Linked DNA regions of Arabidopsis thaliana. The protein of the gene in region 2 interacts with the protein of the main gene of each other region in a pairwise test. Each region holds a gene or a part of one and is shown on either strand. Other genes may lie near its edges.

What was found. Proteins that work in one complex are often made in the same cells at the same time.
Region 1: the proteins of RAV2 (region 2) and AT3G25990 interact in a two-hybrid assay, tested with the Arabidopsis thaliana proteins (one study listed by BioGRID).

Annotation. Positions count from the first base shown.
Region 1 is NC_003074.8:9,504,140-9,508,930, forward strand, and holds AT3G25990 (Homeodomain-like superfamily protein), read right to left. Parts: upstream 2,649-4,791; 5' UTR 2,565-2,648; coding exon 2,042-2,564; intron 1,761-2,041; coding exon 1,722-1,760; intron 1,443-1,721; coding exon 1,314-1,442; intron 1,212-1,313; coding exon 987-1,211; intron 910-986; coding exon 707-909; 3' UTR 538-706; downstream 1-537. Other genes in the region: MAD2 (DNA-binding HORMA family protein), read left to right, coding at 1-122, 204-263; AT3G26000 (Ribonuclease inhibitor), read right to left, coding at 2,903-3,382, 3,522-4,403. UniProt on the Arabidopsis thaliana protein: Probable transcription factor that binds specific DNA sequence.
Region 2 is NC_003070.9:25,878,086-25,882,876, forward strand, and holds RAV2 (uncharacterized protein), read left to right. Parts: upstream 1-2,237; 5' UTR 2,238-2,356; coding exon 2,357-3,415; 3' UTR 3,416-3,465; exon of another isoform or gene 3,466-3,870; intron 3,871-3,880; 3' UTR 3,881-4,137; downstream 4,138-4,791. Other genes in the region: AT1G68845 (uncharacterized protein), read left to right, coding at 4,349-4,611, 4,680-4,791.

The DNA.
Region 1 (4,791 bases), on a different chromosome or scaffold from region 2:
GTGTGTTTGATGTATTGGCGTATACGGATACTGATGTGGCTGTTCCATTCACTTGGATCGAGAGCGACCCGAAGTTGATTGCTAATCCACAGATGGTTAAGTTACACGGTTTTGATACCAAGGTAAGGAGGAGGAAGAATTTTGAAACCTTTATTTATACACTTTGAAATGTCTAAGTATTTTGGTGGTTTCATACTTTGCAGATTCACAAAGTCGACACGCTTGTCTCATACAAGAACGACGAGTGGGATGAAGAAGAGTAACAGAAGTCGGGACACACGTATGCAAGGCTCTTTGTTCAGCTTGCGTTTATCTCTTTGGGAGTTCTCATTGTTCTTAAAGGCACGTGAATCCTTTATTCACACACCTATATCGTTTTCTCTTCTGTTTTTTTTCTTTTTCTGAATTGTATGAGAATTGGAATCCTGTACTTGTGTTGTGTTTTGTTCAAAAGTTATCAGCTTTTTCATTGTCCCTGTCTCTTGTACTGAACCGTTTTGTTTACCAATCAAACTTTATGGCTCTTGGATCAAAAAGAGATTTCTCAATAAACAAATCAAATTCCTCTGATTCACAATGGCATGTCAAAAGAGGTGCATATGTACAGTGACTGATGAAAATAAAGTATTTTGGATCAAAAAAAGCTATTTATAGTGACTGATGAAAAATAAAAGGTTTCTTCTAGCCTTCTGTAGTAACCGTTTTCTCATCTCATTCCTCTGTATAAGCGACCGGATTGAAGCTCGTCCATATTGTCTATGTTTTGAAACGCGTCAAACTCTCTCAGACATGTCCATCCTCGTCGAGCCAAGAAATCTCGGTAATCTTCTTCGGTGTAGAATATCTTCTCCTCTTGATGGACTGGTAACGGATCAGATTCATCATAGTGGCACACTCTAACGGCTATCCCTGAATTCAAATGGATATTGAGAAACCTCTAACCAGAGAGTATTCGATGAATAGCATAGAAGAAAGAGTGGATTTACCTTCATCAATGCGGAGTATATAGTTCCCTAAAGGCATGTCTCGGTCAAGAGAGCGAATAACCTGTTCTTCATCTTCTAGCCAAAAAGCTCGTCTTGTTCTCAATCTAAACGCGGATCTGATAGCTTCCTTAATTGCTTCAGCAGTACCATCAATCCCAACTCGTCTTGTGTAATCTCCAAATTTCACCGTTATGATCCTCCCAGCAAATGGCTGACCATCAACGCCTGCTTCAAACATGACAACGATTAGTAGTAGTTGCCATAAAAGTTCAAAAGCTTAATAAACAAGGAGAGGCTCTCTCTAAGTTAGATTGTCTGGTTACTTACCATTTCCAGGGGTGTCTCTCCAATTCCAAGGAGGAACTCCATTTGCTGTGATGGGATCAGCAGCAATGGGGAGAGGAAGACCATCATGATCAAGCTCCGTTTCAAGATTTAGCGTTGGCCTGCCATTAGCTGCATACAGATACAACTCATATCAAGACTAAAGTGACTAACACTACTTCCACAAACCAAACAAAATCGGCTTCACATTATCACTAACATTCTACAATTTGGTATGAGTTCACTTTTATTTCACTGAATTATAAGAGAATCATAAGTTGTTGCACAATTGTTTACCCAAAGTTAGGACTGATACAACCATTTCTCTCAAAGTAATTCCCCAACTAAAAAAGATTTCAACACCACCATTTATATATACACTCAAAGATTCAATAAATGTGAGATCAATACCTTCAACAGATGTAAATGAAATACCAGTATCTTCAAAACCTACAAGAAGATAAAGATAAAGATCAATTTTAGAAGAAAACCCAAATTTACTATAAAAAGTCAATCTAGTTTAACAAACCAAATCTACAACTTTATAATTAGCCATTAATGGTCAAAAGCCTCTTTAACCAGGTTTAGCACTAAAAGAGGAACAAAACTAAAACCAAAAAAGATCAGTCTTTATCTTCTCAATCCAAATCTAAACCAAAACCCATTAAGAAATTTTATCCAAACCTGCAACAAATCAATCAGAATCCCCAAAACCAAGCTAAAGATTGTACCTTTATCTGTAAATTGCATAAAGGAATCAACTTTAGCAGAAGATGGTGTAGTAGTAGCAGGACTCTTATAGAATGCCACTTTCTTCTTTCTTTCTCTGAAAATATCTTCAATCTCATTGTAATAAGACATCTTCGTTGATCCTCCACTTGTTGCTTTATCTTCATGTTGCTTAGCTTTCTTAAACTCTTTCAATATGTTCCTCCACTTGTCCGTACACATAGATGGTGATCGATCAAACCCTTTCTCTCTCATTTTCTTAGAAATCTGTTCCCAGAGATGTTTGTTAGATTTGGAAGTGTTGAAAAGATTGTCCATTTCTCTCCGTAATGAGATTAAGGTTCGAGTCTCGTCTTGTGCCCATGTCTCTGCTCGTTTCTTTGGTGCTTTGATGATCTCATGATCCTCTCCTCCACTGCTTTCTCCGAGGATGATCTGGTGTGGCTGTAGATCTCCGTTTGATGTAACATCGCCGATCATCATGTTTATGTCCCGTGAAGGATTGTTGTTATCGGAAACAAACATGTTTTCTCCAAGGAAGAAGGAGAGATAGCAGAAGATGTCAAAGATTAATATAAAAGGCGCGTGAGTCTTTAATTATTTGTCAAAGCTTATCTTAAATTTACATAAATGATCTCTCTTGTTTGATTATTAGATGAAGAACAAGAACAACCCAAAGATGCAAACTTTTAATAGATCTCCAATAATAAAGATAAGAGTGTTCAACAAATATGAAATGGAACATATTTTTATTGTTTAAAAAAAAAAAGGTTCTAGAGATAGTTGAAGATCATCTCCATTGAACCGTGGAGACTGAGTCATTCAATCATAGAGAAGAGAAAGGCTCAGATGGAATTTTATACCTAGAGAGTTAACTTAGGGGTCGGCTTCGAACAAACAGCACACAAAAGCTCTAAACAAAACATTTCTTCGTATTCAGTGTCAATGATGCACCGACCACAATGATAACACCTCTGTATGCAAAGAGAACAAGCACGGCATTCCTCAGAACCTTTCTTTTTCCCTTTACAATCTTCTGCTGGACAGTCATACACAAGCTTAAAATTTTGACACTTTGGGCACATCTCAATATCTAGTGCCCGGTCATCATCACAGGACACACAAGCTTCTCCTCTATGGTAAAAACGCGGCTTCTGAATAGTCTGCTTGACTTTATTGTCAATGTTCAACAAGTCAATCAGTTCATCGTAGTGATCTTTAGTCACTCCAAAGAGGCCACGAAGTTGTAAATGCTTCACTTGAAGCTTTCCCGCAGACTTCAGATCCCTCAAGACGCTCAAAATACCATCGATAGTTATCCTTGTGCATCCAGGCACACCAATCTGCCAACCACAAAACAACATTCGGTTTTAATAGGATCCCACAAATCAATTCAATTACCAGGCACTTCTATAAAAACTTACAATATTACTTATTAGTAATCCAAATACGCTTTAAAGTAAATTAAGGAAAGAAGCTCACCTTGACTACTTGTCGGTTGCGCGCCACCACCCGCTTAAGACAATCATCAGTAATTCTACAGCAATCTACGATCCTCAAACACTGCATAGTACCCTGAGCCCTCTCAGTTAAATGCAGTAGAGCCTCTTCCGTGATCTTCTCATTCAACGGTCGACAAATGTGGATATGCTTCCAAAGTAACGTGTCATCACAAACAGTAGTATGCAAAGACTTGCAAACCATACTAACTGAAAGAAGATCCTTCCCTCGCAAGTGATAAAGACAAAAACCAATCGCTGGATGAACATACGCATCCTCTTCTCCATTATTGCAGCGATCACTACTTCCTACAACTTCACCATTCCTCGCATTCTCATGGCTCAATACCTCATCAACACTACTAGCAGATATGAAAGCACCATGACAAGATCCATCACCATCTAATGCCCCTCCAAACCCATTATTTTCCCCACTACTTTCAGGGAATTTACATGTGGAAAACAGAGACCCATCAAACGCCCCACCAAACAATGACTCTGATCCATAACTGTAACCACTACTCTGAAACTGCATTGCATTGTTCCAAAAGAAACTCAATCCAGCAAACAGCTGCTGACGGTTTCCATCACCAATCCAAATGTCATCTCTTCTTCTTCTTCCATATTGGTTATTATAATCATCCTCCAAATCCTCAAGCCATCCAGTAATAGCCGTGAAAGTATTGTTGATATCCATACCAAACGGATCAGATGGCAAAACATCAAGTATATCAACAGAAGAAGCATCTCCTCCAGTATTCTTCCTTCCATTATCGAAACTTGAACACCAATTCCCATTGGCTATCATCATTGGTTCCTCAGATAGATGAGAAGAAAAAGGTCTATGTGAAAAATTTAAAGCCATTTCTATTAATCTCTATATACACTTTAAACCTAACAAAACCAAAAAAATCCCTCTTTTGTACACAATCCCTAGAAAAACTCAAAACCCCCTAAAGAAGATAGATCAGATCCGAAGATAAACTAAAAAGTTATTTTTTTTTTTGGATAATCGAAAGATGAATTAATAGATCTATGGAGAGAAAAAGGAAACTCTTGATTTCAGATGGCAACAAAAAAATACTAGGCACCAGAAATTTTGAGAGCTTCCTTGGAACCCTAAAAAACCCTAGAAAAGAAATTCGAAATTGAGACGTATTAACAACCGAATTTGGGTAACACAAAAAGAATGAATTGAATAAATTTGATTTTTCCTTTTTTTTTTTGTTTTCCTTTTCTTTTTTCTCGAACAA
Region 2 (4,791 bases):
TGATTCAGCATTCAAACTTATCATGTGATTTGGATGGTTATTGAAGTTTCATATTAATTGATAAATTAAATGTGTTGGGATGATGAGAGGTGATATAGAAATACATATTGTAGTGTTTAAATAGATATGGATTCAAGTATATAATTAATTCTTCTTAATCAAATTAATTTGAGTTGGACTAGTAGTCTAGTAAGTAGTAAGAGAACATATTCGGATGGTATCTTAAATTTATGAAATACAGTGTGTTTTCAGTTTTTATTGGTAGCAACAAATTTATCGGTTCATACCTCAAAGATAGTATTATACGTGTCTACGATTATATAAAAAAATCAATACAAAATAATTGTTCATTCAAGAAACAATCGGACGATATGAACATTATAGTTACAAACTAGTAAAAAGCTATAAATATGTAAAGTGAAAACTATTTAAAAGGGTGAAAATTAAAACGTATCAACGTTGGAGTGTTTCAAAAATATTTGGTTGGATAAGCTCAAACTAGTCAAATTGTCTCCCCTCCCAAGCGGGAACATCACGCCATGTCCACAATAAATCCATTTTTCTTTCTCTCAAATATATATAGAGATACATACATCGATACTATTCTATATATTATGTAACAAATTAGAAATATCATATACCACATGGTAAGTTGTATAAAGAGAATTATTAGTGTTTGCTTATTGCAAAATTAATACAAAACATTTTCTATTGAAGAGCTACAAATTAAGAAGGAAACTGAAAAATATAATAAAAAGCAGAATATGTTACGATATTTGTATGAGTGTATGAGACAACAGTATCAGATAAGATCATAATCCTTGCGACCAACCTATCCAAAAGTCTCTTTTTTGTTTTCTAATCAATTTACAAAACATTTAACCAATAAAAATATAAAGATGGTGAAAAAAATATGGTCATACAACAATTGCTTCAAAGGGGGATGAACTAAAATATACCAAAAAAAGAAGTGAGGATAGGTTCATGTGAGCCCCCATCCCACTTGACCCTCTTGGTAGGTCCACATTTACCATGAACATGTAACCCATTGGTTATTCATTTGTATGTATTGTTTTTTGTCAATGACTTAATTTTATTTTATTTTCTTCTTCTCTGACTTTTTTTTGTTTATCTGACTCTTCTATGTATGTCAAAATGTAGCAAGATAATTGAACATATTTGGATTGTTGAAAAACATATCGATATTTAGTGAATTAGTTTCTCCTCCAAGCATCTAGAATGTCATAACTGTGTTGAATTGTACATAAAATTTGATATGGATTGATCATTGATAATAAATCAATGAATTAATGATCTATTAGAATATGAACTTTTCATTCAAATTTAATTGATAATAAGTGGATTTGTCTATATGTAATATTTTAGTCAAAAAAATTGTTTCTTTTCAATGCGATATTATTATCCTTAAAACGTTTTCTCGAGATAATTTTTTTCCGAGCCATTAATTTTAGTATGTTCAGATATAGATCGACAGAAAAACTATAATTACGTCGGACCAATTGTAGATTGGATTGAATACATATGGATCAGATTCTAATACCATATTAGAATATGAGGTATCTAATTCAAAACCAACTATTAATAAATAGATTGACTCATATATGTCTTATATACTAGTCAAGATTTCTTTGTCTTTTCTAATGTGGGATATTATTATCCCTAATATCATGAATAAAATCAAGAGTTAATGTTTAACTATATCTAATCTATACTACCCATCTTTTTTCGGAAACTATATATAAGTTATAAAACCAAGAAATTCTCGTTATCCAATAAAAATAATAATTTTGACTATGGTTATATATCAGTTTCAACAACTTATATGATGATTGATGAGAACCTTATTTTATGAAAGTACGTGGTAATGTGTTGTAAGAAAATGTTCTTACGCCGTTGAAATATTTTTCCAAAAAATGTACATAACAAACGTACGATATGTATGTAAAAGCCGTGGTACTACATTTATTTTTGTCTGCCCTTCTCGGAAACTTCCTTCAAAGTTATTTTTGCCGTTCTTGAAAGCGTTGACCCTACCTTTCCATTTTTAAAATGTTCTCTCATTTTGACCCATTTTTTTCCATAAACCAATCAAATTTTAACTTTCAAAAACATAAAACTAATTAGATATAAAATAATAACATGTACATGCACTTGCCTCGTCCATTCCTCACATCATCATATGTCTTTGTATATATATAGATGAACCAAAGAAATGAAAAAGTAACAACGTCACCTAAATCTCTCTCACCCAATTTGTGTTTCTTCTTTCTGCTAAAAGGTTATAATTTTTGTTTCTTGGTTTGGTGAGAATCTTCAAGAAACTGAAACAAAGAAAATGGATTCTAGTTGCATAGACGAGATAAGTTCCTCCACTTCAGAATCTTTCTCCGCCACCACCGCCAAGAAGCTCTCTCCTCCTCCCGCGGCGGCGTTACGCCTCTACCGGATGGGAAGCGGCGGGAGCAGCGTCGTGTTGGATCCCGAGAACGGCCTAGAGACGGAGTCACGAAAGCTACCATCTTCAAAATACAAAGGTGTTGTTCCTCAGCCTAACGGAAGATGGGGAGCTCAGATCTACGAGAAGCACCAACGAGTATGGCTCGGGACTTTCAACGAGCAAGAAGAAGCTGCTCGTTCCTACGACATCGCAGCTTGTAGATTCCGTGGCCGCGACGCCGTCGTCAACTTCAAGAACGTTCTGGAAGACGGCGATTTAGCTTTTCTTGAAGCTCACTCAAAGGCCGAGATCGTCGACATGTTGAGAAAACACACTTACGCCGACGAGCTTGAACAGAACAATAAACGGCAGTTGTTTCTCTCCGTCGACGCTAACGGAAAACGTAACGGATCGAGTACTACTCAAAACGACAAAGTTTTAAAGACGCGTGAAGTTCTTTTCGAGAAGGCTGTTACACCTAGCGACGTTGGGAAGCTAAACCGTCTCGTGATACCTAAACAACACGCCGAGAAACACTTTCCGTTACCGTCACCGTCACCGGCAGTGACTAAAGGAGTTTTGATCAACTTCGAAGACGTTAACGGTAAAGTGTGGAGGTTCCGTTACTCATACTGGAACAGTAGTCAAAGTTACGTGTTGACCAAGGGATGGAGTCGATTCGTCAAGGAGAAGAATCTTCGAGCCGGTGATGTTGTTACTTTCGAGAGATCGACCGGACTAGAGCGGCAGTTATATATTGATTGGAAAGTTCGGTCTGGTCCGAGAGAAAACCCGGTTCAGGTGGTGGTTCGGCTTTTCGGAGTTGATATCTTTAATGTGACCACCGTGAAGCCAAACGACGTCGTGGCCGTTTGCGGTGGAAAGAGATCTCGAGATGTTGATGATATGTTTGCGTTACGGTGTTCCAAGAAGCAGGCGATAATCAATGCTTTGTGACATATTTCCTTTTCCGATTTTATGCTTTCGTTTTTTAATTTTTTTTTTTTGTCAAGTTGTGTAGGTTGTGATTCATGCTAGGTTGTATTTAGGAAAAGAGATAAGACCAAAAAATAAATTGGAACAATGGTTTTGTGGAAAAGTGGTAAATAGACCTACCTCATAGTAAAACGTTACCGGATACAACCTAAATGTTTATCCGTTCCTAAAACTAGATGAATCAAATTAATTAACTATCTAAAATTGCATGATAAATCGGAAAAAGAGGATGAATTCTTGGCAATTTCATCCATTACCGTACAAGGACTTATTTCTCTTACTTGGCAACTAAAGGATGCTCATAGGTGTCTTAATGATCTCACATAGCAAGTTAGCAACCTTTTACTCTCTTTTTTTCCAAGATTACTCTACTCTAGGTGTTGCTTCTGTAATTCCTTTATTTTCATTTCTAATGATATTTACAAGTTTTGCAAAAAAAAAAAAAAAAAAAAGTTAGCAACCTTGGAGTCTCGACCAATCTTGAGGGGAGGATATGGCATGAATGATGTAATTGTAGAGTCATTCTCGAAATTCACCACTTCATAGCCCACATTGTCAAGGCACCATTCAAGCTTACAAATTAGCAGTAGTCTGCCTCTTATCGTCTCGAAGTTTTCTGGTATTGGTATAAGCTAGGTTTCGTTCCCCAAAGGTCGAACCATTAATAAATGACTGAAATCTTTTAACCTCAAAACAGAAATATGTAAACTGAACGAAATCCAAAATATAGTAATGTGTTCCCGAACAGATTCAAGCGACTTATAGTGCTTCTGGCAAACCTCACACGACTAGGCTGGTGAACGGAATGGTACGTAACCATTGCTAGAGGTTGTATGGCTTCAGTTTGTTCAGTTCAAGTACAAGAATCTTGGGGATTTTTGTGAACATTGCGGTATGATTAGCCATCGGAAGTGTGAAAAAGTCGCAAAACAGAGATGTTTGACCCGCGCGGGTTTAAAACGATACGATTCTCAACGGGTTGGTAAGGGTTTATCCGTGAAGTCTCACTACTCCCAGTCGTATGTTGACATGGGTTTACTGTTCGAGGAGACACTTACTTACGCTCAGTTCATGGTAGAGGTTAGGGTTGATGTTGTTTACGCAAGCGAGCATGAGTGGGGCGGCAAGAAACTGATTCGTTCCTTGTTGGTAAGTAAGTATGATTATTGCTTCGGGTTTCCTTGTTTCCCGACACGATTCATTAATGATGTTTTACCATTTGAAGAGATAAGATCTCACATCTGGCGAGGTTGACGACCGAGGACAAGGCCAGCATCGTCCGTGGACTAGCAGATCACTTAATGAAGCAGAGGAGGACTTGGTCAAAGCAGAGATGG